Arabidopsis thaliana: one gene and its partners. The protein of the gene in region 2 interacts with the protein of the main gene of each other region in a pairwise test. Each region holds a gene or a part of one and is shown on either strand. Other genes may lie near its edges. The genes, in order: CPK1, GLR1.3 and GDU2.

The links.
Region 1: the proteins of GLR1.3 (region 2) and CPK1 interact in a protein complementation assay, tested with the Arabidopsis thaliana proteins (one large-scale study listed by BioGRID).
Region 3: the proteins of GLR1.3 (region 2) and GDU2 interact in a protein complementation assay, tested with the Arabidopsis thaliana proteins (one large-scale study listed by BioGRID).

Annotation. Positions count from the first base shown.
Region 1 is NC_003076.8:1,415,507-1,426,118, forward strand, and holds CPK1 (calcium dependent protein kinase 1), read right to left. Parts: upstream 5,049-10,612; 5' UTR 4,372-5,048; coding exon 3,459-4,371; intron 3,342-3,458; coding exon 3,198-3,341; intron 3,103-3,197; coding exon 2,950-3,102; intron 2,789-2,949; coding exon 2,673-2,788; intron 2,518-2,672; coding exon 2,350-2,517; intron 2,199-2,349; coding exon 1,974-2,198; intron 1,623-1,973; coding exon 1,509-1,622; 3' UTR 1,058-1,508; downstream 1-1,057. Other genes in the region: AT5G04885 (Glycosyl hydrolase family protein), read left to right, coding at 7,560-7,591, 7,844-8,088, 8,392-8,596, 8,699-8,789, 8,893-9,038, 9,119-9,362, 9,556-9,660, 9,748-9,930 and 2 more. UniProt on the Arabidopsis thaliana protein: May play a role in signal transduction pathways that involve calcium as a second messenger. Phosphorylates the Ca(2+)-ATPase ACA2 resulting in the inhibition of its calcium activation.
Region 2 is NC_003076.8:19,615,318-19,625,929, forward strand, and holds GLR1.3 (glutamate receptor 1.3), read left to right. Parts: upstream 1-4,949; 5' UTR 4,950-4,998; coding exon 4,999-5,290; intron 5,291-5,382; coding exon 5,383-6,611; intron 6,612-6,693; coding exon 6,694-7,000; intron 7,001-7,098; coding exon 7,099-7,472; coding exon of another isoform or gene 7,473-7,541; exon of another isoform or gene 7,542-7,579; coding exon 7,580-7,960; 3' UTR 7,961-8,108; downstream 8,109-10,612. Other genes in the region: AtSPO22 (Tetratricopeptide repeat (TPR)-like superfamily protein), read left to right, coding at 1-46; ATGLR1.2 (Glutamate receptor family protein), read left to right, coding at 927-1,212, 1,322-2,565, 2,673-2,979, 3,073-3,446, 3,537-3,929.
Region 3 is NC_003075.7:13,110,948-13,120,947, reverse strand, and holds GDU2 (glutamine dumper 2), read right to left. Parts: upstream 4,921-10,000; 5' UTR 4,800-4,920; coding exon 4,410-4,799; 3' UTR 3,993-4,409; downstream 1-3,992. Other genes in the region: AT4G25770 (alpha/beta-Hydrolases superfamily protein), read left to right, coding at 966-1,276, 1,368-1,435, 1,528-1,598, 1,677-1,916, 2,040-2,203, 2,285-2,340, 2,438-2,490, 2,577-2,700 and 1 more; ABCG4 (ABC-2 type transporter family protein), read left to right, coding at 8,588-10,000. UniProt on the Arabidopsis thaliana protein: Probable subunit of an amino acid transporter involved in the regulation of the amino acid metabolism. Stimulates amino acid export by activating nonselective amino acid facilitators.

The DNA of each region.
Region 1 (10,612 bases), about 18 Mb from region 2:
TATAGGCTTATAGCTAAGCTATTATTTTGTCCAATCCATGTGAAAGATAAGATTTTTAATGTACACGAAGGATAAGTTAGGTATGTCCTAATTCATAAAGATTTAGCTGCTAAGTCCTAACCATATGTCATTGCCTTAAAGTTAATACAGTCCCTACACTAACTCATGCTCCCATGATCCTTTTTGCTTTTTACTTCTTTTGTAATGGAAAATAAAACCACATTTTAATCCAGCGTAAAAAAAAAAAAAATCTTATGTGATGAGTATTTTTTTGATGTTGTGACAAACACGTACATTCTAAAACAATATGAGGTTTTTAGGGTTCGATATTTTGAGTTGCATGTTTATATATATGTGTAATGTGTTGTTCATTTTTCATAGGAACTGAAAATCCCGAAAAAAACTAACTTAATACGTACAATGATTCATTTTTCAATAAAAGTTAGAAAAAGTAAACTAGACTACTTATATTTTTCAAATATAATTAACACTTTAAACAAGGACCAACATATTTAACAATTAGACCCCTACACAAATAAAACTTTATGATACAGTAATCATGATCACGTTTTGTGGACTGAAATTAGGAAATTTAAAAGGGATAGGGACGCAGTTTTGAAATAGACAATTTAATCAGTTTATTTAAATAAAACCAATTTAATAATTTTATAAATTAAAAAGTCGTACCCCAAAATAAACATTTTTAAATGTCAACAACAAACGCAAGCTTTAAATTATTTATTTTTGGAGAAATAACTTGATTGTGAGACCCACTTTTATATTTTTCCTCCATTTTTTTTGTTGTTCTAAAGAGTAAGTTAGGTATTTATGTTGACCAAAAACACTAGCTAAAAGATCATTTTATTCGTTTTTTCCAATCATAAAAAAGAAATTAATTATGTAAATGGAAAATAAAGATCTCAAAATACTACGTGTTTAGGATTAGGAGGTTTGGTGGCTATTATTTTCGGTGACCAATTTAATTATCTGCTTATAATTTAATTTGATTTCAGCTTAGATTCGGTAAGGACTTGAATTATATAATTCGGACAACAAATTAATTGAAATTCGGTTAAGTTATTTTATTTCTCAAAAAAAGAAAACTGGGAAATTACATAGAAGTACCTCAACTTTTAAACGATTTTCACATAAATACTCAAACTTTTTGCTTTACAAGAAAAAGCCCTCACAAAAATTTGATGATCGTTATCGCAAAATTTCCAAATCGTGTTCAAGTTTTTTGACTCTTTGAATTTACTTACAGACAAGAAATCGTGGTTTGTAATGTTAGAAGACTATATATGCTCAAGAAGTAACACAATACAACAAAGTTTCCAAAACAAGTCTAAGACAAAACCTCATCCAAAAGATTGAGAGAATCCAAAAGAGGGCAAGAGAGAATCTTGGCTGTGTGCATATGTCTTCAACATAATCAAAATGGTATATATTATCAGAAAACTCTTTTGTCTTCTTGGCTTTAGTTTTGTACTTTTAAATAGACTGAGAAACTAGAGTTTAAGAGCAATGCTAAAGCTTTTCTCTAGACCCATTTTCACAGGTCCTCCTGTGATGCTTCCTTTCTGCATCATCGCCACAAACTCGTTGTAGTCTATTCGCCCGTCCTACAATACAACAATTCAAATGTTCAACATTATCAACATTCAACCAATATATCAATCCAAAACCGACATGAAAACTCGGTTTACTTCACTGTTTCTCAGGAAAGAGAGTTTCTACTATCCCCCTAGGTTTAACAAGAATCATACTCAATCGTCTCAGTTTTCCCAAGAAAACAGACATGAAAACTCGGTAAGTGAAGTGTAGTTTTAATAATGCAAGGATTTAAGAGGATCATATAAGTGAGATTCCTATGAGTAAAATGTATATAATCCATTGAAATTTGATCATTGTTGAGAAGTATTCAAGTCATTTTATAATTAGGATGAGATGATAAAAGGTGTAAAGGAACTTACATTGTCTTGATCAACATCGCGCATCAGTTCTTCTATGCGGACATCCTCAACACCAAACTCCTCACAAGCTTGTTGAAGCTCGTCTGGGGTGATATAGCCGCTCCCATCTTTGTCAAAGTATGTAAAGGCTGCAAACAAATGGTCCTCTCTCTCTATTTTGTTTAGATGTAATGTTGCAGCTATGAACTCTTTGTAATCTATTGTTCCGCTGTTGTCCACATCAGCCTGAATTATATACACATGAGAGAGAAACCAGATTACTTGCATATCTAGCAAAAACAGAAGTATATAACCACAACCAACAGAGTAAGTTTGAATGATAACAAGATCAGTTCAGAATCTTAGTTAGGGAACTGGTATGCCGGTTAAAACTTACAGCTTGCATCAAGTCGAGAATTTCAGACTCTTTGAGATTCGCCCCTACTCGTTTTAGTCCTGCTTTCAGTTCTTCGAAAGTTATCTGACCACTCTTGTCCGCATCTATCATATTAAACATTTCTTTCAAGCCGGCGATTTCTTCTTCAGATAAGCTCTCAGCAATGACCTGCAAAAAGGCATAAAGAGAGAAACTTAATCTCCGTCGTCTCTTTCTTTCCACATAACAAGAGGAAGATGGGTTAAATGTAGCTATCTTATGTTTATGACAGGAACTTCTTTTATATGGTTTTAAATTTTGTTTAGCATCGGAAAGCTGCTTACTCTAAGAGCCATTTTCTTGAACTTGTTCATTGCAGAAAACTGCTTCATACGGCTCAGAACAGCAGAATCCAAAGGCTTGTCTGGAGCCACACCGTCGACTTGAACCCATGGATGACCTGAGAAGAAGCACAACTCCATAAGAGATAGAACGATGGTAGATCACTCTACATGACAACACACTTTATTCATGTAGTGAAATCTATGCTCAATGGAATTAACAGAAAGAGAATCACAGCGCTTTAACTGGAAGAGAAGGTTTCAGATCAAAATAACTTACATAATACTTGGTGGGCAGTTAACCTTTTCTTGGGATCCCTGACAAGCATTTTCCTCACTAAATCCTTTGCACTTTCAGATATACTTGGCCATGGATCGGACGAAAAGTCAAGATCACCGTGGAGGACCTGTTCGAAAATACCTTGTTCGGTTTCTGAATGTTCAAAGAAACAAAAAGATTAGAGATGTTGTTCAGAGCCTAGTTAGGAAAAGTGACAAATCTCTTATCTGTATATATACAATTCTTACCAGCCCAGAATGGAGGAACTCCGCTTAATAAAATGTACACAATCACTCCAGCACTCCAGACATCAGCTTCAGGGCCATAACGCTTTCGAAGAACTTCTGGGGCAACATAATATGGGCTACCAACAACATCTGTAAAAACATCGTCTGCAAAGAGGAAGGGAATCGAGTTCAGAAATAATTGTTCGACAAGGATCACACTATTCACGTTAAAGACCAAATCTGGAAGTGGATCTTTTAAGATGAGTAACAATGAAATCAAACCTGGTTTAAAGAACATGGAGAGTCCAAAATCAATCGTCTTCAAGAGGGAATCTTCGTGTTTACTGACAAACAGAAAATTCTCGGGCTTGAGGTCTCGATGCATAACACCAAGAGAATGGCAAGCCTCTACAACCCCAACAATGGTTCTAGTGAGCTCAGCCGCTTTCCTCTCTGTGTAGTGACCGCGTTGAATGATCCTGTCAAAAAGCTCGCCGCCTGCACAACACTCCATTACAAGGTGCACTGCCACAACATCCTCATAAGCTCCTTTGATGGAGATGACATTAGGGTGACCAGCCAAGTGATGCATTATCTGAATTTCTCTTCTCACATCCTCAACGTCCTCATCAGTCAATAGCTTCCTCTTAGCAATCGACTTGCAGGCAAACTCCTTCCCCGTAGTCTTCTCGACACATAAAAAAGTCGTCCCAAATTGCCCTTGTCCGAGTTTCCTTCCCAAGGAATAGAATTCCTTGAAGTTTTCAGTCTTCCTCTGCAACACTGACTCAGTCCTAAGCCCTGCACTTGACACTCTCTTCATGTGTTTAGGCTTCTTAGGTTTAGCTGGAGGATCAGGTTTTGACTCCGGCTTGGTCTCTGACTTGGTCTCCTGCTTAGTCTCTGGTTTGGACTCAAGGCTTATCTCCTCTAGCGTTTCAGGCTTGCTTTCAGTTCGAATCTCTCTGTCCTTGGTCTCGACGTCAGTCCCTGGCTTCGGCATTGTGACCTGTTCAGGAGGTTTATTCTGGACTTCATCAGATAATCGAGATCGAAGCTCTCCCGAAACAGCTTCACTTGCAATATCTCCATTACTCATGGAAGCCGAATCATCTCCATCTCTTGGCCGCCACATTGCAGCTGAAACAGATTGCAAGAAGCCATTTCTGCTTGGTCCAACACAAGTATTACCCATTCCCTAACTTGTCTTAAATCTCTTTCACCAGAAATAGCATCAAGATCTGATTACAATAACCTCAAAAACAATCTAATCTCATTACTAATCTGATAAAAGTCAAATCCTTTCGATCTTAAAACCATCAGACATCAAACCTCGGACTTCTCAGACGATTGAATTTCTACACAGCTGAACTGATAAACCCAACTTGGATGAGGAGAAACAGCAGAGAGCTTGCTTATACAGAGGTGAGAAATAGCAAGAAAAATCAAAAGGGTATCGGAAAAATCATGACTTGAAACAAACCCAGAAAATAGAAAGTCACAATGAAGGAAACCAAACAGAGAGTAGAAAGCATCCCCAGATAACAACAACAAAGAAAGAAACAGAGAGATCTGAAGAAGAGTAAAGAGAAAGAATGAGAAAATAAATTGAGTTGGGTGGGAAAATAAAAGGGATAGTTTAATAGCACTACACTTGCATAAACCGTAGGGACATTTGTTAATTTAATGAGAGAGTCAAGGTCTGTATAGAGAAGAAGACGATGAAGAAAGACGAAGAAGAAGATTGAACCAGTTTGAAAAACGCGTTTCTTTTGTTTTGATTATCTATCACCGCCGAGTTTTCCGCTGAGATTTGTCTTAACTCTCTTTTTAATTAATCTTTGATTACAAAGTCCACCACCCTCTTCAATCTTGGCAACGCAGCTTCTTATGTAAGGGTACTTAATTAGTAATATATTAAAACTTTGAGGTAAAAAGGTGATTTTCCATAAAATCAATTTCCTTTCTGGAGTCCTAATAACATCCTTTTTATAATGGTCCCATCATTTACTACTTTTGAAAAATATAACCCGCAAGTGAAAAATGCGCAAACAAAACCCACATATTAAAGAGCAGTCATTAAAAATAAGACATCCACATGTTAAAGCTTGAACAAATCACATGCTCTACACATTCTTGTCTTCGCCCTTATGTTTTACCCTAATTACTCCTTCCGACCACAGCTATTATTGAAGATCAAAACCTAGACCAGAACTAATATTGTAGAGACGGCGAGTTTGGTGTTCTAAACATCATGATCACCACTTTCCATTGTTTTTGCTGGTCCTAACGGAACACTCAAGCACCCTTCCTTTTTCCAGTAGATAAGCCAATGAGATGTCCCTACTGCAATAGAACGGTATGAATCTCTGGACACTCTGTTATTGATTTGATATGGAAAGAATGCTTGCCTAAAACAAAAACGAAGCTCACTATTGTTATCAAGAGATGGTGGTTTGAATCAGTATTTAAGAAGATATGATTTGTGGCAAAGACGCTCACTATGATGTGTATGAGACTTGGTTTGATGTAGTGCAGTATGTTCTGATAGTAGATTATCAATCATCACAACAGCGTTTTTTGGTGACAAAAGTCTGTTCATTGCCTCTGCCACGTCCTGATCAAGTAAACATCCAAGGACCTCCAAAAACAGATGATCCTTATTACAGAGATTCTCAATCTTTTCCGTACTTGTTCCTTGATTGATCCTTTTCACTATGACGAAATTAAATTGACAACTGTTTCCATATCTTGCTATGAGGAACAAAATTTCCTAGTCATGACTATAAAATGAAAAGTAACCTATTCGGCATTCTGTTTATGACACTAATAGAGAACAAGTGTGGGAAAGGGAAATGACGGTATTCAAGTGTGTGTCTTCCATTGACCGGAAAATAAGGTAAGAAAACCCTCACCTTTCTTATCATGTGTTGCGCTTGGAAATGGAAGAATCTCTTTATGCTTCTTTTCGCCACCTCTAAATCCTCCAACTGCATGAACACAATTCTATATCAGATATATGAGTGTGCACCATCAACTAAGTAACAGTCCAAAACCATCTAACTGACTAATGCGCGAAGACACCTACATTGGCTCAATCTTTGGCTGACCAGGTTTTCTGTTCCTAGCATCAAATACTATATTCTCGAGAAAATCCATATTGCTAACACCAGGGATCTCAACTGGAGTTTGGAGACTCAAGAAGAGAACCGCAAGAGATCCTTACATATCATGCAGATGCTCGGCTTTAAACACAATGATTTATGAGAGGGGTACGAGTAGAGATACTCTAGGAATCATATGTTTCAACAACATGAAGATTGAGAAACTTACCTTGAAAAAATGTGTTCATAAGCAAAAAACTTACGAGCCTCAACCTTTCATAATATTAGTTAGGAAATATCAGCAATGATGCAAATGATTCACACAATTGGAATTAGTTAAGCTTGTCAGAAATTTTAGCTAATGCTCTCTTAGTACAGAAATAATATCCAATAGAATCACGGCTAACAAACTTCACAACGTCTATATGTACTAGTGTTTCATTAACATGAAAAATCTCTCCTTTCTTCCACAATTCAACAATCACAAGCACTTAAATCCCTAACCTCAATCAAACGGCTCCTATTCCCGTCATCATGATCCGAGGATGGAGACAAAGTCGACAGAAGAAGAATCGGAGAGGAAAAAGGAGAGCTTTTTACGGCGGTGGATACACAGAGCAGCGACTCAGAAACCTCGCGAAGGCTTATGAGGAAGATACAGTAGAAGCGTATTGAGCAGTTCAGTGTTCGCAACGGAGGCCATAGAGATAGACGAAGCGGCGGCGGGAGGCGGAGAATCGCCGGTTTAGCGTGAGATAAGAGTCGAGGAATCCGATTCTCCCGCCTACTGACACGTGTCCAAGGTACGTTAAAGCAAGTACGATACTTTTCAGTAATAAAAAAAAGTAAGAAGTCAAAAAAGAAAGAAACTTTTTTAAAAAACTAAAACGACGCCGCTTTGTTCGTCGTTATGCATCATTATGCAGTGTAGACTGGTACAGATGTTTTGTGGAAAAACGTGAGCCAACCCCACGTCCCAATAAAAACAACACAAAACCGCATCAACGTCTTTTAACACTCTCTCTCTCTTTCTCAAATCTGCTTAAAAGCGTTTATTAACTACTCTTTATTTTCTCATATAAAAATTCTCAGCGAAGAAGAATCAGATATTTTCTGGTCTTGCTCTGCCTAACTCTCACATGTAAGTTCTTCTTTCTTCCTCCATTCTCTACTGTTGAATCTTGCCTTTTTCCTTACCCCCAATGTATGCTTCTTCTTATTTCTTGTTTTCTTGGCTAGCTTGGTTCTTGGTTTCTTGTATGAGGCTAGTAGCTTTATAATGATTCGTTTGGAAAATAAGAAAATGAGAAAGTACTTCTTACGGATTCGTGTGCTTATTCAATCTTTTGTTGAAATTCGAACAGTAAATCTTAAAAAGCTTGCTTTTATTTTTGCTTTTTTTCTTCTTTCTTGTCACTGATGAATAACGAAGTTGCTTTTTTGTTTTCTTGGTTGGCTGCTGATAAGCACCAAGGTTTCACAATTTTGGGGGTTTCTTTTTTAAGCTGACAAGTGACAAGTCTTTCTTATCTTGAGTTTCTTCCGTCTTTGTTGTTTTGCCAGAGTTTCCCCTGTTACGAAGATGAGCAGAGATTCAGTAAGAATCGTTGGGGTTCTTCTATGGATGTGTATGTGGGTTTGTTGTTATGGGGATGGAGAGTATCTGTTGTACAAGGACCCGAAACAGACGGTGTCAGATCGAGTTGCGGATTTGTTTGGTAGAATGACTTTGGAAGAGAAGATTGGCCAGATGGTGCAGATTGATAGAAGTGTTGCCACTGTCAACATTATGAGAGATTACTTCATCGGTATGTAAAAGAACAATCTTTCTTGGAGATTTCCAGAAATCTGATTACTTACTTGCTTGGCTAGTTTAATTGGTTCATTTAAACCTTATTTTGGGCATCTTGTATGGTTTCCTTAGAAAACTGGTCGGTGCTACTGGTGTTGTTAGGTGAAATGAGGATATCATTCAGTTTTTGCTTTCATTGAACTTCAGTTTCTCATCATCTTGTTAATAAAGAACTAGATAAGCTGCGTAACTTGACTTGGTATTGAGTATCTGTATTTGTGAAACTTGAAAATTGAAGTTGTCTGTTTGTTCTGTACAGGCAGTGTATTGAGTGGTGGTGGGAGCGCTCCACTTCCTGAGGCAAGTGCTCAGAATTGGGTTGATATGATAAATGAGTACCAAAAGGGGGCTCTAGTTAGTCGTTTGGGAATTCCTATGATATATGGCATTGATGCCGTTCACGGGCATAACAATGTCTATAACGCTACTATTTTCCCTCACAATGTTGGTCTTGGAGCCACTAGGCAAGTATTAGCTAAAACGTTTATTCGATCTTGCATGTTTCCCATCTCTGTTTCTGTGAATGCTGTCTATATTTCTTCTGATGATAGATTTGAGTTTCACAGGGATCCTGATCTTGTTAAGAGGATTGGAGCAGCAACTGCAGTCGAAGTCAGAGCCACTGGAATCCCATACACATTTGCTCCTTGCATTGCAGTAAATTTTCTCACCGTCTGCCTAACTTTTATATACCTGGCACTCTTCATATCATTGGTACTTTGGACATTTGTTAAAGTTGTTACCCACTCGCTTTTTGTAGGTTTGTAGAGATCCCAGATGGGGTAGATGTTATGAGAGCTACAGCGAGGATCACAAAGTCGTGGAAGACATGACGGATGTCATACTTGGTTTACAAGGAGAGCCTCCTTCCAACTATAAGCACGGAGTTCCATTCGTTGGTGGCAGGTAAGGCTTTTGTTAATTTGGTTCGGTTATGATAGCCTTACAAAAGTATGTTCGGTCTTTCATGCGTGTTATTTTGATAGGGATAAAGTTGCAGCCTGTGCCAAGCATTACGTGGGAGATGGTGGGACAACCCGCGGAGTAAACGAGAACAACACTGTGACTGATTTACACGGTCTTCTTAGCGTTCACATGCCCGCTTATGCTGATGCAGTTTACAAAGGTGTTTCCACAGTGATGGTTTCATATTCGAGCTGGAATGGTGAGAAGATGCATGCAAATACTGAGCTGATCACAGGGTATCTTAAGGGTACCCTTAAGTTTAAGGTCTGCTTACTTATCACAACTTCAACGCACATTCTCTGTGTTCTGGCAGTAGTCTTTCTGAATGAATATTTCTCTTTCTCCATGTATTTTGTAGATTCTTGAATAGAACATATATATAGCATGTGTGAGTTCTTAGATGAAGGAGTTGATTTTGAATGTTAATTCCAACTTATCATCTCTATGATGTGTGCAGGGTTTTGTTATCTCGGATTGGCAAGGTGTCGATAAGATTTCCACACCACCGCATACGCACTACACAGCTTCCGTCCGAGCTGCAATTCAAGCTGGAATTGATATGGTTAGTGTTTCATACTTCACAGACATTCCTGGACTGAAATAGGAAATTGTTACTCATGTTTGTGTTAGCTAATGAAATAATATGCAGGTCATGGTCCCCTTCAACTTTACCGAGTTTGTCAATGATCTTACAACCTTGGTGAAGAATAATTCAATTCCTGTCACTCGGATTGATGATGCTGTCAGAAGAATCCTGCTTGTCAAGTTCACCATGGGTCTTTTTGAGAACCCTTTGGCTGATTACAGCTTTTCCAGTGAACTAGGAAGCCAGGTCAGTTGCCTAATAACCCTGAGCTAGAATCTGTTGCAAGTACTACAAAGTCTTGATGGAATGTTCTCAATTTATATTAGGCACATAGAGACTTGGCAAGGGAGGCTGTTAGAAAATCCCTTGTGCTACTGAAGAACGGGAACAAAACCAATCCTATGCTCCCACTTCCCAGGAAGACTTCAAAGATCCTAGTCGCTGGCACTCACGCTGATAATTTAGGTTATCAGTGTGGTGGTTGGACCATAACTTGGCAAGGATTTAGCGGTAATAAGAACACGAGAGGTACGTTCTGCAACTCTTATTGCAGATTATACAAGTTCTATCATCTTGTCTGTGACTGTTTATGCTTTGTAAGTTGTAACAAATATCTTGTGACTGTTAATAGACTGTACCCTTTCTTCTGATTCAGGGACTACACTTCTTAGCGCTGTAAAATCAGCTGTTGATCAAAGCACTGAAGTTGTCTTCCGCGAGAACCCGGATGCTGAATTCATCAAATCGAACAACTTTGCTTATGCAATCATTGCTGTTGGTGAACCTCCATATGCAGAAACAGCTGGAGACAGCGACAAGCTAACTATGCTTGACCCCGGTCCAGCGATTATTAGCTCCACTTGTCAGGCTGTCAAGTGTGTGGTTGTGGTCATTTCAGGTAGACCACTTGTGATGGAACCTTACGTTG
Region 2 (10,612 bases):
GCAGGATTACTTGGCTGGTTTTCAGACCAAAGTTTCTTCTGCTTAGTTTCATTCATATTAACTGTCTCATTAGTTTAAATGTCCATGAAATAAATCTGAGATATAGAATTGTTGAAGATGTTTAGTTCATATAGTACACACTAAATCCCCTAGAAAAACTAATTAAAACATGTAAAACTATATTTCTAATCGCTTCTTGCAAACAGAATCTGCTCTAAGACATATTCATCTCTCATGGGAATTATGCAAATCTTACTAAGATCAAAATTCATTTGACCGTAGATTTTTATGATGGAAAGAGTTTGTGGTCGTGTAGAGTTATTAAGAATTCACTTAGTTTTAGGTGGAGGCCTAAACTTAAGAAAGGACATAAGATACTGACTAAGTTTGATCATATGAGATCGTTTACTTTTGAGATGAAACGACTTTCACAATTTTCCTCTGCTTCTAGATTTATATCTGTGACCGTCTGATTATATAATCCTTGGTACTTGTTGATTAGTTCTTGTCGGCAAAGGATAATACTCTCCAAAAGCTATGGGATTGAAAGGTGTTTGTTTTCTTTTGCTTAAAATTGACCTTTGACAAATTCTGTCCAATAGAATCTTCATTTTTCATATTGTTCTTCTTACTTTCGTAACTAAAATAATAACTTTGAGAGAAAGATAAGTAGCCAACCTTTAGTACTCCACAACGAAATTTCTCTTAAATTGTAATCGGTTGACTAATGTCATCCTCCTAAAAATTTCGTTAACTTTGAATTTCTCTTTTTCTTCTTACGATTTTCTTAAATATATGTGAATAGAATAGAGAAAATGTAAAACACGGCATGTGTAGGCTATAACTGTTTATATAAAATAATAATAATGATGTGTAAAGCAACAAACGTGAGGTCTCTCCTTCCTCTTTAGTTGGAAAGAATTTTAATGGTGAGAATTTGTATTCAAACCCCAATTTTGCTATCGTTTCTTCTTGTTCTGCTTTTCTTCATCTCCAACTGTTTTGCTTCGAGTCAAAACAACGATGATGATAAACGGATTCGGGTCCGGGTCGGGTTGGTTTTGGATTTGGGTTCCGTGGAAGGGAAGATAGTGCGGAGTTCTGTTTCCATGGCTCTTTCTGATTTCTACGACAATCACAATGACTACAAAACAAGACTCTCTCTTTTAGTCAGAGATTCTCATGGAGAGCCTCTTCTTGCTCTTGATTCAGGTAACATACTCCATTACTCTTGCACCTCTCTATATAAATCACCTTTTTCTCTTTATCCATTTTTGTTTTGTGATTATTCATACACTCACAATCTTTGTGAATGAAACAGTTGTAGATTTGCTGCAAACAGAAGGAGTGCAAGCAATAATTGGCGGGAACTCGTTGCTAGAAGCGAAGCTTTTGGCGGAACTTGGAGAGAAAGCTAGGGTTCCTGTGATTTCACTTAACTCTCCCATGTCATTGTCATTGAGCAAATACACTCACTTGATCCAAGCCACACATAACTCTGCCTCTGAGGTTAAAGGAATTACAGCTTTCCTCCATGGGTTTGATTGGAACAGTGTTGCTCTTGTTTTAGAAGATCACGATGACTGGAGAGAGAGTATGCATTTTATGGTGGACCATTTCCATGAGAACAACGTTCATGTACAGTCCAAGGTTGCTTTTAGTGTCACTTCGAGTGAGGATTCTTTGATGGATCGATTACGGGAGCTTAAGGACTTGGGAACAACTGTCTTTGTTGTTCACTTGTCTGAAGTTATTGCAACTCGTCTCTTCCCATGTGCTGAGAAATTAGGGATGATGGGTGAAGGGTTTGCTTGGATTCTTACTTCCAGAAGCATGAGCAGTTTTCATGATCAGTTCATTGACGATTTAACAAAGGAGGCAATGGAAGGTGTGGTTGGTTTCAAGTCTTATATACCAATGTCAAAAGAGCTTCACAACTTCACTTTGAGATGGAGAAAAACACTCCCTGTTGAAGAAGTTACTGGGAGTGAGATTACTCGGTTGAGTATCTCTGGCGTATGGGCTCATGATGTCGCTTGGAGTCTGGCGAGTGCAGCTGAAGTGACAAGGATGCCAACTGTGACATCAACTCTCCTTGAGGCCATAAAAGAAAGCAGGTTTAAGGGTCTGAGTGGTAACTTTCAGTTGGATGATATGAAGTTGTTATCAGACAAGTTTGAGATTGTGAATATGATAGGATCAGGTGAGAGAAGGGTAGGATTCTGGAATTCTAATGGTAGTTTCAGCAATAGAAGACAATTATCTTCTACTCATGACAATCTGGAGACCATAATTTGGCCCGGTGGGTCTGCTCAAAGTCCGAAAGGGAGAAGTCTAAGAGAGAGCGGTAGAAAAAAGCTTAGGGTTCTTGTTACATCTAGCAATAGATTCCCAAGACTGATGAAAGTGGAGACTGATCCAATAACACATGAGATAACAATTGTCGAAGGGTTCTGTATAGAAGTCTTTCAGGCATCCATTGCACCTTTCAACTATGAAGTGGAGTACATACGTTGGCTCAATGGAACTAACTACACCAAGCTTGCATATGCACTTCATAGCCAGGTACTAAGCATGGCTCGATTTTACAATTGCAAGTACTTTTAAAATTTGCGTAGACTGTGTGTGGGAACTGACTTAATTCCATTGATAATTTTTGTTGCATCCCTTAGAAAGACAAATATGATGCTGCTGTGGGAGATATTACAATTACTTCCGATAGATCGATGTATGTTGATTTTACGTTGCCATACACTGAAATGGGTCTTGGAATTGTAGCAGCAAAGGAGAGAAGTATGTGGGTGTTCTTCCAACCTCTAACACCAAACCTTTGGATAACAAGTGCAGCTTTCTTTGTCTTGACGGGTATTATAGTTTGGTTGATAGAAAGAGCTGAGAACAAAGAGTTCCAAGGATCTTGGCCTCAACAGATTGGAGTTGTGATTTGGTTTGGCTTCTCTACCCTTGTTTATGCTCATCGTAAGTACCTTTTCACATTCTTATATACCAATTTGGCCATAAGAGAAGAGATTGTAGTGATGCTTACCTTTTGTTGCTTACTCTGTGTGACAGGGGAGAAGCTACAACACAACTTATCAAGATTTGTAGTTACAGTTTGGGTATTTGCGGTGCTCATATTGGTTACAAGTTACACTGCAACATTGACATCAATGATGACGGTGCAACAAATACGATTCAACGCCAATGAAGATTATGTGGGTCACCTCTCGGGATCCCTCATCGCAAATGCGGCCCTCACCAATTCCAGCCTCAGAGCAATGAGATTATTGGGTCTCAATACTTCAGAAGATTATGCTCAAGCTTTGATGAATAAAAGTGTCTCATATATTGTTAGTGAGTTGCCATACCTGAAAATCCTCCTTGGCGAGAATCCTGGACATTTTCTCATGGTCAAGACACAATCTACCACCAATGGTTTTGGCTTCGTATGTATCCTTCTTCTGCATCATCAGTTGCTTTACTCTTGATTTTACTTGTTGAAAAAGAAATGTTTGGTTTGTTATACTATGTTCCAGATGTTCCAGAAGGGGTCCGAGTTGGCGCCTAATGTGTCCCGGGAGATTGCGAAGCTGAGGACAAGCGAGAGGCTAAACGAGATGGAGAGAAGATGGTTTGATAAACAGCTTCCATACACAACCGATGATACATCAAATCCTATAACCCTATATAGATTCCGTGGTTTGTTTATGATCACCGGAGTTTCATTCGCTTTCGCTCTTGCAGTACTTCTCATTCTTTGGCTCCGAGAAAGATGGGAAATCCTTGTGAATTCGGTCAATATATACTTCTCACAACGACTTAGACATTTCAGGATCCTCTTCACAAGAACTATCCATCCTAGTCCCCTCGGCCTCGATAACCCCATTGGCGAGAATGCGGTTCAAATGGCTCAACGTAACAGACGATAGGAAATGAGTAACATAGAGAGAAAACAATTGTTGTGATGTGGTACGTCTCTGACTCTGACCTTGGAGCAGCAAAGAAGATCCTCCAGTGATCCACTAGCTCCTGATCCAAGCCGGCTTACGTCTGAAAGTATAAATGATTGTTATACCAATTTTGTAAATTATAGTGTGATCATATTCGCAACCACTTTTGTAAATAGCAAAAAGGTATTGGTAATATATTGAGTTAAAATTTAACACATTTAGTTTGAGTATTTTTTGGAGAATATGATACTTTTGCAAAGAAAAAAATACTTTAATTCTTCATTTTATAAACCTTAAAAAATGTACCAAACTTTAATCAGTATGTAAAAGACTCGTGCATTTCGTTTGTTGGTATTTGTGTTTAATTTCTTCCATCAATTTATTTGAGATGAGACGACTTTCACCATTTTTCTCTGCTTCTAGATTTATATCTTTGACTGTCTAAATTGTCAAATCCCTTACACTAAGTACTTTTGTTGATTTGTTCTTGTCAACACAAGTTAATACAACCCCAACAAATATGGAGTTTTTAACCAAAAAAAAAACAAATATGGAGTTCTACGTGTAAAAATTTCAGATTAAAACACATTTGTTCCTACGACCGTTGACAAATGTTTTTTTTTTTTTAAGACAAATGATTTTTTTCTTTTGCTAAAATTGGTTAGTTGACAAAATTTTATCCTATAGAATCCTTTTCGAATTTATTCCGTATTTTTACCTTTTTACTTTCTTCACCAAACATTTTGATAGATTTAGTCAGATTCTCTTAAATAATGAAATGATTTGAGAGACAAAAGAGTAGCCAAACTCGATAGCCCATACCGAATTTTACGTTGACTAATGTAATTTTTCTTAAAATCATGATGTCATCATCTTAAACTTTGAATTTTTCTTCAAATATAGTACGTATGTTAATTTTTAAAATTGGAATAATTAGACAGATGAAAAACAAAACACGGCATGGGTTTATATAACAACAAAATAAAATAATGACTAAAAGCAGCAAACGTGGGGTTTCTCCTTTCTCTCTAGTTGGAAAGTTTTTTTAATGGAGAGATTTTGTATTCAAACCCAAACTTTGCTATCGTTTCTTCTTGTTTTGCTTCTCTTCATCTCCAGGTCTTTTGCTTCTACTAAAAACGACGACGTTGATGGAGGTAAACGGGTTCAGATCCGGGTCGGGTTGGTTTTGGATTTGGGTTCCTTGAAAGGGAAGATAGTGAAAAACTCTGTTTCCATGGCTCTTTCCTATTTCTACGCTATTCATAATGATTACAAAACAAGAGTCTCTGTTTCACTCAGAAACTCTCATGGAGAGCCTCTTCTTGCTCTTGCTTCTGGTAAAAACACTTCTTCTCTACAAAAACTCTCTTCTTCTCTGTCTCCATTCACACTCACAATCTTGGTTTTCTATCTCTTGTGAATGAAACAGCTGTAGATCTTCTGAAAACTGAAGGAGTAGAAGCGATTATTGGCGGGAACTCGTTGTTAGAAGCGAAGCTTTTAGGGGAACTTGGAGAGAAAGCTAGGGTTCCTATGATTTCACTTGACTCTCCGTTTTCATTGTCATTAAGCAAATACACTCACTTGATCCAAGCCACACATGATTCTACCTCTGAGGCAAAGGGGATTACATCTTTTATTAATGTGTTTGATTGGAACAGTGTTGCTCTTGTTTATGAAGATCATGATGACTGGAGAGAGAGTATGCAACTTTTGGTGGAGCATTTTCATGAGAACGGTGTTCGTGTACAGTCCAAGGTTGGTTTTACTGTCTCTTCTAGTGAGGATTTTGTGATGGGTCGGTTACAGCAGCTGAAGGACTTGGGGACTACTGTCTTTGTTGTTCACTTGTCTGAAGTTATTGCAACTCATTTATTCCCATGTGCTCGGAGATTAGGGTTGATGGGTGATGGGTTTGTTTGGATCCTGACTGCTAAAACTATGAACAGCTTCCATGAGAACATTGATGATTTCACAAAGCAGGCAATGGAAGGTGTGGTTGGTTTCAAGTCTTACATTCCAATGTCTATAGAGCTTCAAAATTTCACTTTGAGATGGAGAAAATCATTGCCTGTTGAAGAAGCGGAGCTAACTCGGTTGAGTATCTCTGGCATATGGGCTCACGATATCGCTTTTGCTCTGGCGAGAGCAGCAGAAGTTATAAGGATGCCAAATGTGACATCAACTCTCCTTGAGGAAATCACAAAGACTAGGTTTAACGGTTTGAGTGGTGATTTCCAACTAAATGATAAGAAGTTGTTATCAAACAAGTTTGAGATTATCAATATGATAGGATCAAGTGAGAGAAGAGTAGGATTCTTGAACTCTAACGGTAGTTTTAGTAATAGAAGACATTTATCTTCTACTCATAACAAGCTTGAGACCATAATCTGGCCAGGTGGGTCTGCTCAAAGTCCGAAAGGGACTAGTCTAATAGATAGCGATAGAAAAAAGCTGAGGGTCTTGGTTACATCTAGCAATAGATTCCCAAGACTGATGAAAGTGGAGACTGATCCAGTAACAAATGAATTAATTGTTGAAGGGTTCTGTATAGAAGTCTTTCGCGCTTCGATTAGTCCTTTCAACTATGAAGTTGAGTATATACCTTGGCTCAATGGAAGTAACTACGACAATCTTGCATATGCACTTCATAGCCAGGTACTAACCATGTCTTACTTAAGTGTTTTATATTATAACAAGTATTTTTTTTTTTTTAATTGTTTTGTGTTGCATCCCACAGAAAGACAAATATGATGCGGCCGTGGGAGATATTACAATCACTTCGAATAGATCGACGTATGTTGACTTTACGTTGCCATTCACTGAAATGGGTCTTGGAATTGTAGCAGTAAAAGAGAGAAGTATGTGGGTGTTCTTCCAACCTTTAACACCAGATCTTTGGATAACAAGTGCATTTTTTTTTGTCTTGACCGGAGTTATAGTTTGGTTGATAGAAAGAGCTGAGAACAAAGAGTTCCAAGGATCTTGGCCACAACAGATTGGAGTTGTGCTTTGGTTTGGCTTCTCTACCCTTGTCTATGCTCATAGTAAGTACTCACCTTTTCACATTTATATATGCCAATCTTGTTCAGAAAAGATTGTAGTGATCATGCTTACCTTTTGCTGCTTATACTATGTGTGACAGGGGAAAAGCTAAAACACAACTTATCAAGATTTGTTGTTACAGTTTGGGTATTTGCAGTGCTCATACTGACTGCAAGTTACACTGCAACATTGACATCAATGATGACGGTACAACAGATACGATTTAACTCCAACGAAGACTACGTGGGTCACCTTTCCGGCTCCCTCATTGCAAATGTGGCTCTCACTAGTTCCAGCCTCCGAGCAATGAGATCATTGGGTCTTAATAGTGCTGCAGATTATGCTCAAGCCTTGTTGAACAAGACTGTTTCATTTGTTGTTGATGAGTTGCCATACCTCAAAGTTGTCCTTGGCGAGAATCCAACACATTTTTTCATGGTCAAGACACAATCTACCACCAACGGTTTCGGCTTTGTATGTATCCTTCTTCTTCATCGTCATAAGCTTCTTTACTCTTTCTTTACTTTTGACTTGCTGACATAAGAACATGTTTGGTTTGTTATTGTTATACTATGTTTTAGATGTTTCAAAAGGGCTTCGAGTTGGTGCCTAATGTGTCCCGAGAAATCTCAAAGCTAAGGACGAGCGAGAAGCTAAATGAGATGGAGAAAAGATGGTTTGATAATCAACTTCCATACACAACCGATGATACATCAAATCCTATTACTCTTTACAGATTCCGCGGTTTGTTTATAATCATCGGTGTTTCATTCGCTTTCGCTCTTGCGGTACTTGTCATTCTCTGTCTCCGCGACAAATGGGAAATTCTTGTGGACAATCTAGACCTCTCACAACGACTTAGACATTTCAGGATCCACTTTGTAAGATCTATACATACTAGTCCCCTTGATGACCCCATTGGCGAAACTGCGGTTCAAATGGCTCAACAAAATAGACAATAGGAACTGATTAGGGTTAGATCAAAAGGTCCACAAACAATCTTTACTTGTAAATGACTTACATATCAAAGTATAAATGCTGTTTAGACCAAATCCTTGCTTGTAAATTGTATGATCAAATTCAAAACCACCTTTATATAGTTGGTTCATATATGATTAGTGTCTTTCAAATGGTATGGTTCTCAAAAAAAAAAAAAAAAACAATTAAGGTGGAACCAACCGAATCAATTTTTTTTTTTTTGTCACAAGAGTGTCCATTTTGTTATATCAACATAAGCCAAAGTTTGAGACAAACAACAGAGCCAAATTCAACTAAACATAAGTGTAAGACTTTTCAAGCCCAACTATGAAGCCCAAGTAGGAAACCGCATCAGGAAGAAAGAAGAATCATTGAAACAGAACCTAAAACACGTGTCATGAAAAGGTTAGGTGCTGAAGACACGTGAGAAGAAGAAGATCGGAGAATCACTGGTCGCCGCCGAAGAAGATTGTCGACTCCATTGAAACCCAGAACGCCGCGATATGCATGTTGAATCCGGTGATAGCAATTGTCAATTCCAAAGCTCTAAAAACAAATCTTCAACTTCATGGAAATTCAACTTCAAAATCTTCCCAATTAAACGTCAACGGTTCACGAACTCAAGCATCATATTCATCAATCTTATGTTGGAGAGAATTGTGTTTAGGCAAAGACGAATCACCTAAAACCACAACACTAACATAGATCGCATAATTTATTCAACAGAAAAAACAAAAAGCGGCAACAGATAGCCGAAACAAAGCCGGACCTCGCCGGAGACAAAGCTGAACCATACCAGAGACAAAACTAGTAAACAAACCGGATGGAGAAACAAAGATCGTGTTCCTCTCTCTGAATAATTGAAGAGAGAGAAGAGAGAGAAATTGATCTTTTCCCCTTCCAACCGAATCAATCTAATATCCGGTTTATTGACATTAGTTCCAAAATCAAAATCAAACCTAGTAAGAAATCCGAAATGCCGGTCAGTTGTGGGCTTTCAGTTTGGGCTGGGCTAATAAAATTAATGAGCCCATAAGCTTTTTCAAAGAGAAGAAAGGAGAAGAGAGAAACCCTAATCTCTATTCTCTCCCAATCTTATATATAATCTCTCTTCTTTCTCTTCTTCTACAACGCCTTTCTCTCATGTCTCTAAATTAGCTACTCTTTCAAAATTTTGCAGCTTAAACGAATCGTAAAGTACTCCTTTGTTGTTTTTTTGGGTCTGTAGTTTTTTTTTTTTTAAAGCAAGTCTCAGCTTCTTTGATTGGGTCAAGATATTCACGATCCAATCAATTTTATGAAAATCATAACTTGCGAAATAGAAATCGGCAGTATCACTCGCCTGGATCTGATTATAATCATGATTATCCAGGCCCTTAATCTACTGGCACAATCTTTTGAAATTAGATTTTGTTGTTGTTGTTTTGGGCAAACGCACTCTGTCCCAAGACCATTAATTCCATGTTTTGGTGCAATTTCTTCGTTTGCTAAATTGATCTGTACTCCAATTTTAATCATGTCCTCGGGATTATTCTCTGTGATCCCTATATGGGCACATGATTGGTTTACTATACTTTGATTCTTTCGATACCAAATAGTTTTACATAAATCGTTTTTTAGGAGTTAGTTTGTTATTTGAATTGATATGTTTATATCTTTGCAGAAGAATAAATCTTATCTGGTGTACGATTTATGTGATACAGTCACCAAGGACGGTAATTGTTTTCGGATTTAGGTTTAATGAACGGCTTAGGATTAAACTTGAAACATCTAATGAATCTTTGAATAGATTATGTGAGAACATGCCTTGAAGAACATTTGATTTTGACCTTTCGAACGAATAACTTATATATCCAAAAAAATTACTCAATTCGTATATCCCGTAATTTCCCAATCTGAAGATTATAACCAAAATCAAGAGGCACGTATCTAAGACTAAATGTGTCATAACTCACTGAAATTGTTGTTGAAGAAGAACAGAAGATACTGATGATGATGGATAAAAAAACAAAAAGAAGATACTAATGATGGAAGTCCTTCAGTTGATGAACATAATACTGAATTATTGATGATGAAAGTCCTTCAATTAGACGTTTGGCTTTCTATCATTTAGGCCCATATATTCCGGGTATGAAGCCGGATCCTATAGCCCGTTGGTATTTGAACGGGTCAAGTACGGATCAGATACTATGACATATTGCCACGGGTTTGGCGCTTTTTAGAAAGATAAGAGATGCATTAGTCGGGACTCGGGCGGTATCTTCGGCGCTATAATTTTAATTGGGCTTTTAATGGGCCTGAATCTTTTGGGCATATTATCCATTTATGTTTGGAAGGTGCATCAACCTTTTTTGAAAGTATACATGCAGTATAGTATTCATCGCATTCTTGTTTTTTTATTTTTTTTCCCTGTTGTCTATTTGAAGTCGTTAATTTTTTTCAGTTTAACTGGTTTTTATTATGAACTACATTGAGAATTTAGAAGAAAGAGTGCTTCATGTATTAAACCAATTGATGATATATTCTAGGGAAAAAACCTCACTAACCAAAAACTTAATTAAATAAACAAACCCACTTGAAACCAATTAATATTACATATATTAAAACATTCGTCAATGTTTTTCGGTATATTGAAG
Region 3 (10,000 bases), on a different chromosome or scaffold from region 2:
ATTATGTAGCGGCTCTGGCAGATTGTAAATTTTAGAAAGAAAAAGAAAAGGAGATTGATGATAATTATGGATTGTATTATTTTATTGGAGAGATATGATATGATTGTGTTATGTGTTGTCCCGTGAAACCCTAATGTTGGACGTATTAGATAGGCGGATATTTGATAATGGTGGGTCGTCACGGAAAACGCCAATAAGTCAGCATGCTTGCCAACCCATATTGGCACTCACAACTCACAACATTATGGCCATCAATTTAATCCATGCAATGATATAAAATACTATGGAAGATAAATCAAATAGTTAGGGATGAAATTAAGAAAGAAGAAGGACGAAAAAAACGAATGAATTTAGCAATCGATTAAGCCAAATCGAAATTGGAAATCAAAAGAATGTGAAAGAGATTCTATTGGTACTTAATTAGTACTTACACGTTTTAATGTGAAAGAGATTTTTTTTTTTGTCATACATGTCACATGTGCAATATGAATAATCAAATGAGTAACTTGAAATAATTGATTTAAATGTGCTTTACTTTTAAGAAAGAAAAGAAAACAAATCCAGACATTTTAATGAAATAAATCTTTACATTTTATATTGAGATTAGATGTACTTGCAATGAAATAATTTTTATTTACTATTTATCCTATACTAATAGTAGTTGATAAATCTCTACATTTTAGTGTAGATTTTTGCAAGTCTTCCAAAATTAAAGTTTTTTTGTTTGTTAATAACAACACCATTAACCTCTTATAGTTTTTAATTTATTATCAATCCACTATTAATATTTTTTTTAAAAACTTATTTTGACCAAGTGTTTCTATGTTACCGCTACTGTTGCTTAGCGCCTCCGCAAAACCCGCAAATTGTAACACTTCTTCGCCGGAAAAGTTAAGCGACTTGTCATCATCAGTTTGCTAGTCAGGAAGATAACTTCCTTCTTATTGTGTTCCTTTTACTTCCACATGATCGCGTCCTTCTCCAGATTCCAAATCTCAATCCCCGATTTGATTCCGTCTTCACCGCGATTTCTTCCGCCTAGTCAAAACCAGTTCCGTTTCAGATTATACCTTCAATTTCCAGCTCAACCTAAGAATCTCTGTCAAATGGAGTGGATGAATCGTCTTGGAATCGGTTGCTTTGCGGCGAATCGAAGCAAAAGAGAGCTGACGACGGAGATCGACAACGGCGGAGAAGACTTTTTCGATGCGGATGTTATGGAGTCTGCGGAGAAGCCTGATCATTTGGTGGTCATGGTTAACGGAATCGTTGGCAGGTAGACTAAATCAAAGAGCTTCAATTAGAATTACAGATTACTATAGTTTGGGTTAAAGACTGTGCTAATTCTGTGTTGGATGATGATTTAGTGCGGCGGATTGGAAATATGCGGCGGAGCAGTTCGTGAAGAAGTTCCCGGATAAAGTACTAGTGCACCGTGCGTGTTTCTTGACCTATAGATATTGTGGTTTTGATTACTCTGTAATTTTATGATTTGTTTGATTTTGATGATGAAATTGGATGAAGCAGGTAGCGAGAGTAATAGTGCAACGTTGACATTTGATGGTGTTGATAAAATGGGTGAAAGGCTAGCTAATGAGGTAGTATTTGGATGCATTGTTGTTTCCTCTGTAACTTGCAACTTAAAATTTGATTTCTATGTTTGAAAATTTGTGAAGGTTTTGGGTGTTGTTAAGCATAGAAGTGGGCTGAAGAAGATATCTTTTGTGGCTCATTCATTAGGAGGTCTTGTTGCAAGATATGCCATAGGGAAGCTCTATGAACAGCCAGGGGAAGTCGACTCTCTGGACTCTCCTTCGAAGGAGAAGAGCGCAAGAGGAGGCGAAATTGCTGGGTTAGAACCTATGAACTTTATAACTTTCGCAACGCCTCATCTTGGTTCAAGAGGACATAGACAGGTGAATTGATGTTTTAGACTGCATGCCTAGGTCAAATGTTTATGTAAGGTTTGCATATATATATATAGATAATCTCTTTCTGTAATCTGTATGACATGCTTACTCTTGTCTTCATTCCCTCAGTTCCCGATTCTTTGTGGCCTTCCGTTTCTTGAAAGAACAGCATCCCAAACTGCACATTTGGCTGCTGGGAGGACCGGAAAGCATTTGTTTCTGGTGGACAACGATGATGGAAATGCTCCACTTCTTATCCGGATGGCTACAGATTCTGATGACTTGAAATTCATGTAAATGCTCTAGCTTCTGGGTGTTTTCATTGGTGACTTGCAGATTGATATGCTCATCATCTCTTCTTATGACCTCAACAGATCAGCTTTAAATGCTTTCAAGCGTCGTGTGGCATATGCAAACGTGAATTTTGATTGTATCCTTCCCTGAAAAAAACATGTTTTTAAAGAGACTGTCAATGGTTTTTGATTATTTCTATCATTTACAAGAGTTTGCCTTAACTAATGAGAAAGCTATGGTTGGATGGAGGACATCTTCAATTCGCCGTCCAAATGAACTCCCAAAGGTATGTCTTTACTTATTATATTTTGTGCACATCTTTAATGACGTTGTGGGATTTATCAATAACTATTATCCCTGCTCATCTTCCAGCCAAATCTTCTAGCAACGGATCCAAACTATCCACACATTGTATACGTAGAACGTGGAAATGTGGACAATGGTAGTTGCCAGTCAACTTCTACAGTAGTAACAGAGCAAGATACTGATCTTGAAGGTTTTGCTTTATTTCTCACTTGACTATTTGTTTTTCAAAATTTGCTAGAAAAAATGATATCTCTATCAGATTTATGGAATGTGGTAGATCCTTGCCTCGCTATCTATTACCCATTGGTCTTCTTTATAACAAGTAGAATCACTAACTTCGTCCTGTTATGGTTTTTGTGAAATGTAGAGGAAATGATACATGGACTCAGTCAACTATCTTGGGAAAGAGTAGATGTCAGCTTTCACAATAGCAAGCAACGATACGTCGCGCATAGTACCATCCAGGCAAGTTTAATGATAAGAACTCAAAACTCAAAAGCGATTTTGTTAAGAGCATTTGACATAATTTTCCCTGTAATGTGTAGGTGAAAACATATTGGTTACATTCTGATGGCAAAGATGTTGTCTTCCACATGATGGATCATTTCGGTCTCTAGCCCTAAACATTTTCAACCGCTGCAATTAGTCAGCACTGTAAGAAGGCGATAAGCATCACAAACTTCTTCTCTTTTTTGTTGGTTATTTATATCGTATTTAGTATGATGCTTGATGCGATACAAATCGTGGTAAAGTTCTTGGCACTTTTTCCTTGATGGTTATTTAAAATGTTTTATAGTTCTGTCGAACAATGAATCTGTACAGATCTACCCGTTCTTTGTAAAAAAAAAAGGTTCATACTTCTCTTGTCACTATCGATTCTATAAGTTTTTGTTTTGATCATAAGACTTGGCGCCAGTTGAATGTCGATTTTTCCACAATTATTGTTGGTTTTCCAGTTTTATTGGCATCATTTGCGAGCTCGTTTGTTTTGACACGTTCACATAATAAACATAGTAGGAATTGGACAAGAAAACGAAAGGACGTAAACACATGACACAACCAGTGACCAATTGCCCATACTAGAAAAACAATTATTCAGTTAGTTGCAGTAGTCTCCATCCATTATATGTGTCACTGTTCACATTGTACTGATCATCCAAAAGACGACAATTTATTGTCCAACGATAAACGATAATGCTTTCAATTTCAGTGAATGGTAAACAATGATAAATGGATATGCCTGGAAAAGAAAAAAAGAGAGAAATGTATAGTTGAGAGGCTATTTGTTCTTTGATAAAACTTGATGATATTTAGTAATATATCTAGAAATTTAGGAATAAAGGTACAAAGAGAATAATTCTCAACTTCGGTTCGCCACAACGAATTAGCTTAATATTCGGCATGCGTCATTGTTGGCACATCACTAGAAGTTTTCACAACACATCTCTTTCCCTCTTTCGTAAGCATCATGTCTGTACATCTCTCACTGGGAAAACATTTTTGTCTCTCTATACACGAAAACTGAATTAAGGACGCACGATTTTAGTTGTATCTTTTATTTATTTTGTCTGTCAAGCTTCAGTTCTATCTTTAATCGCTAGTCCAAAACAATCATCTATTCAAACTCTTAAAATTTACATGTACCGGATATTCCTTCATGAACCATAAACGGGAAAAATTTGAAGAAAACTGAGACAACCAAAAAAAAACTAAAACCATACGAAATAAATAAAACTCTAATTTATATCCCATCAGCTCACGTAAGGTTGGCGTAATTATGAACCGACACAAAAAGACCGGACGGATCGATTCCGGAGTACTCCGTAACGAATGCTCTGTTTTCAAAATATGAGGGAGGGCTCACCGTAACCTCCGGTGCTCTGCTATACCACCTGATCACTACCCTCTTCTTCCTTCTTCTTCGTTATGATCGCCGCAAGTACAGCTTTGCTCAGACCGAGTCGCTGGCGTAGCCAAGTAAGTAGGTCTGACATCACCGGCCATTATGACGAGAAACTTCTCCGGCATTTCTGTGTGCTTAGTTTTGTTGGTGTCATTGTCGGGTTTGGCATCATCTCCGGCCTCAAGATCTCTCTCAGCGGAGCCGGAGAGTCTCCAGTAGGAACATGCGAGGATGAGAAGAGCGACGCAGATGAGAGCCAACATGGCGGCCAAACCACCGAAGAGATAAGGAACCGGAGAGTGCCAAGGCGAGTGAGGCACCACCATGGAGGAGCTCGCGTTTATGCTGTCTTGGTAATTATATTGTCGTCCTTCCATTGTCTGCATGTGTGTTTTACTGTTTGGGAAGAGTGAATGAAATGAAAGTTTTCTTTGTTAAAAAAGTAATTAATTTATTGGTGGGAGATGAGATTGTGTTGTGAGAGGCGTTTTATAGAGGAACGTATGGGATGGATTGTTTCTTAATGCAATGGATTTGTGTATGGTTCAGTTTTCAGTATTTTTTTGGAATGTATGAAAAAAGTCAGTATTCATTATTTGTACTTTGTAGAGTGAGTATTAACGAAATTATTTTTTAGGGAATCATCTTCCATAATGGAGTAAACAATTGATTGGTTTTTGATATAGAGATGTAGTTTTTTTTTGCATTTATACTTACATGAATAATTTTTTAATCAACCTCAAAAATGATATTAGTTTAACGTGGTGGCTCAATGAAGACATTTGTAAAATCATGTATATTTCCTTCTTTTGGATGTTAATTTGAACTTGTATTAAGTTGGTTTTCTTATTTTTTTCATAATTGTTTTGTTTAATATATCCGTCTTTAGTACTTTAATAAAGTTTAAATTTTTATTGGTGGCTTTTAATTAATAGTATCTTTTAAATGCAATAATGGATAGAGGTTAATTAAAGTTAAGAATTATTTAATAATCTTGTTACGGCAATTTGCACATTAACCTAACTGTTGAACTAACTAACCTCTTTGTTTTGGCTAATCAGTTTTTATTACTTTGCTTAATTAGGTTAAACTCAAGATTTAATATCATTTAGGAGTTTCAACTCAAAACTATTTTCAATGCCATTTATACACTATATATGGAGTTCTTAACAATATGTATAAAACTGTAAGAACTATATACAGTAAAGGGTATTTAAAAAACTTCTGGTTAGATAAAGTAATAGAGCGAGTAGTGCAATTGGAGGGGTAGGTTCTCAGCGTCAGCTTCCACCATGACTAAAGGAAAAACGGATATTCCATTAGTTTCCAATCACTTTCACTTACGTTCTCCATTTCCACATTCTTCCTCTTCCATTTTCTTTAATTTCTTCATTCGTACTTTAAGATCATTGTTTAATGTGTCCACTAGTATTACAGTAAGCAATAATATATCATTACGTCAACTAAAAGGAATTTCTAAGGCAGAACCTTTTTTAAAGCATCCAAACCCCCAAACAATGTTATGTGCGGTTAATATGCCAACACAATCACTAGTCGCTTACATTAATCTTTGGAGATAAGTTTTACTTTTAAATCCCCTCACTGTGTATATATTAGTTTTAAATTATTATGTGTGTGGGCTGTATAATTTATTCCCTGATCCGACTTAAATTCCGGATTTGATTTGTGTTTGTGCATGAATCATAGGGAATCATATTCTCGTTAAATAGGCACGTTACATGTGAAGATAATGTATAAAATAAATACATATACCTAGGAACCCATTATTTAGTTTCTCGAACAAACAGATTAAGTACGATAATTAAATATTGGAGTTCTATTCTTCTTCCTTTCCGGTAATTATTCTGCCAGACCAATTAGAATCGGTATGTTGATTGTTGAAAAGATTGATTGATGGGTGCTTCATTTTGTGCTTGGTTAACAATCAGAATACTTGCCCTCTTTACTTTTATTTCTTTTGAAATTTCCTAAGAAATCGTTTTCGGTGTTGAAAGAATTAACAAAGGTTCCAAATATCTCAACTTCTCAAGTCAGAGATTAGCTTTCATGTAGTTTTTCAAATTGTGTTTATTTCTTCATCTAATTACTTTTAAAGGTGGCTCGTTCAGTTTTTTTCAGAACTTATCTCCGTACATTCTAAAACTCATTTTTAGTTATCAAGATATTTTTCTTTCTCTTTAGATACGGATTAGTGAACTTGAGATAGGTATATCTAATTTAAATAGACAGCTTTATAGAGCTATGATGACACTTTTAAAAACTGATAGATATGCAACAAATATCATTATTGCATGCCTCACAGTTCACACATGTTATTTGAAGTTTGAACATTAAGTCATAAACAACAGTTTAATTACAATAAAATAATCAACATTTGCTAGCAAGAAAAAGAGAAGATATGGTAATAAAAATAAGGTTTATTGAAAGAAAAGATGAGAAAAGGAGATGAAAGTACAATAATTGTATATATCGTCAACCATGGCGACATGATCATATACATACATGTTTAAAATAATTTTGGAAAGTGTAAAAGCAAGTGTCTAAGGAAGTGTTATGCACTAATAGAAGTATAGGACGGTATCTAGTGAGAAGAAACAAAGAGTAAAGATACAAAAAAAACAGAGTGATTAACATTTCCTACATATATTCTATAGTTTTTTTTTTGGAATATGTTGTAACAGTTATGACATGATTCATGTGGAAGCTGCTACAAAAAAGTGGAGGAACGAGAGGGAATAGTAATAAAGCAGAAAGGGGTGTTTCTTTGAGAGAGTACATTTGTGAACGAGGACCAGCCTTTGTGGGACCTAAGAGTGGAGGGTGGTTCAGCTTTTAGCCGAGACGTCCTCATCGCCCAGCACCCTGGTCTGGTCCATCCTCCTCCACTGTCGCCTGTCGGCCTTCATTACTCTTTAACTTACCCACACACATTCTTTTCACTTTTCAGTTTTGGGTCTGTTCTTGCAGTTATGATATATACGGCATGGTATATTTATCTTGTGACATTGCAAGTTGCTTTTCACACATTTTTTTCAATATTGATCCACATTCAAATGGGCTTATTTCTGATTTCCTAATGTCAATTTTCTTCTGTTTAGCCCTGCACTCTGTTCTTGTTTTTGTACCCGTTAAGGGGCTTTGAAACAACATGCTACTTTTTATTATGTGTAGAAATTTAGGAAAAACACAACATGAGATACGGATATATTGATGGCCAAAGAAAGTGAAGAGAATGCTTTATTAGTATAACAAACTATATAAACATATCACATATGTGATATGTATAACAAGTTACTATAATATGATTCAAATTCTGTTTAGAATATTTTCTTTCATAGATAAAGAAATTGTACCATTTACAATTATTTCACCTATTAACTCCTAAAGTTTATTCATTTGCATGTACGGTGATATACCTAAAGTAAAAGCAACCACAAGTAACTATAACTAACTAACGTTTAAGCCAGATTGTTTTTATAGAAACTCCTTCAAATCCAGGACTGGTCACGTCATTAATATGTAATTGTAAAAATGGTTTGGCAAATTGTGTGCCAAACAAACAAAGGAAGATGCAGAGATTGGGAAATAGACTTGTACGTGATTTGCAATTTTCTGTGTAATAATTGTCAGCAGGCCCGTGACCTTTATCTGCATTCCCCTTTGGCTTTCTTCTTCTCAGTTTCTCAACAATATATATTCACTATGACACACATGCATATTCATTTGATCCATCTTTACATGTTTTCAATAAATGTGTGTATACGTAACTGTTAGCAAGCTTTCTTTATGAGAATATATCTAAGAATTTTCGTTTCTTCTGGATCCACCTTCTCACTAATAACTCCATCTTAATTTGGACTTGAATCTCTAATGATCTCTTCAATATCTGACTCTCTCTTGTCTTACTGTCGCATCCTGGTTACATCACCGTTTGACCACAATTATATTCGATGAGTTCTATGTAACGCAAAATTCAAAATGACAGAAAAGACAAAATAATTAACCAAAAGGTCAAAAAACAAATAAGAAAGAAAAAAAGACTGAAAAATTGTCAATTTCATTGGAAAATACAAAACATTCCAAACTCAAGCATCAATAAATTCTCTTTACAACACTCACTTCCCTTCTCCAACCTTTAAACATTTCTCTCAAAATGGAGTCGTACACTTTATCCACCTCTTCCATCTCCTACGCCAAACCTCTTTCACCGCTCCTCCTCACGGCGGAGCAACCTTCCTTCATCCTCCGCAACATCACTCTCACCTCTCATCCTTCCCAAATCCTCGCCATTATTGGCCCTAGCGGCGCCGGAAAATCAACTCTCCTTGATATCCTTGCCGCAAGAACCTCCCCGACCTCAGGCTCAATACTTCTAAACTCCGTCCTTATTAACCCTTCTTCTTACCGTAAAATCTCCTCCTACGTTCCTCAACACGACACCTTCTTCCCTCTCCTCACCGTCTCCGAGACCTTCACTTTCTCCGCCTCTCTCTTGCTCCCAAAAAACCTATCAAAAGTCTCCAGTGTCGTTGCTTCTCTCCTCAAAGAACTAAACCTAACACATCTTGCACATACAAGACTAGGTCAAGGCTTGTCCGGTGGTGAACGCAGGAGGGTTTCAATTGGTCTAAGTCTTCTTCATGATCCGGAAGTACTACTCCTCGACGAACCCACCTCGGGTTTAGACAGTAAATCCGCTTTCGATGTCGTTCAAATTCTCAAATCTATTGCGACGTCCAGAGAAAGGATCGTGATCTTGTCCATACACCAACCTAGCTTCAAGATCCTGTCTCTCATCGATCGCGTGTTACTCCTTTCTAAAGGAACCATTGTATATCATGGAAGGCTTGACTTACTTGAAGCATTCTTGCTCTCCAAGGGATTCACGGTTCCTTCTCAGCTGAATTCTCTTGAGTACGCTATGGAGATACTTCAGAACATCCGTGATCCCTACGAAAACGCCAACATTGCTCTTCCAGACCACTGCCCTGAAAGTAAAAAACAGAACCAAAAACAGAGCATTGTTCGATATAAAAGCTCGAGAATCACCGAAATAAGCCTTCTCTCTAGCAGGTTTTGGAAGATCATATACCGTACAAGGCAGTTGCTTCTAACAAACATCTTAGAATCTCTTGTAGTCGGTCTTGTCTTAGGCACTATCTACCTTAATATCGGAACTGGCAAAGAAGGAATCAGGAAACGATTTGGCCTTTTCGCATTCACCCTCACATTCCTCCTCTCCTCCACTACCCAAACCCTTCCAATATTCATTGATGAACGACCTATTCTTCTCCGAGAAACCTCAAGCGGACTCTACAGACTCTCCTCTCACATTCTTGCAAACACTTTGGTTTTCTTGCCATACTTGCTACTCATCGCAATCATCTACTCTGTCTCACTCTATTTCCTTGTAGGACTCTGCTTTTCATGGCAAGCTCTCGCCTACTTTGTGCTCGTAATCTGGATCATTGTCCTAATGGCTAACTCTTTTGTACTTTTCTTGAGCTCTCTCGCACCTAACTACATTGCTGGAACATCTTCAGTGACCATTCTTCTTGCGGCTTTC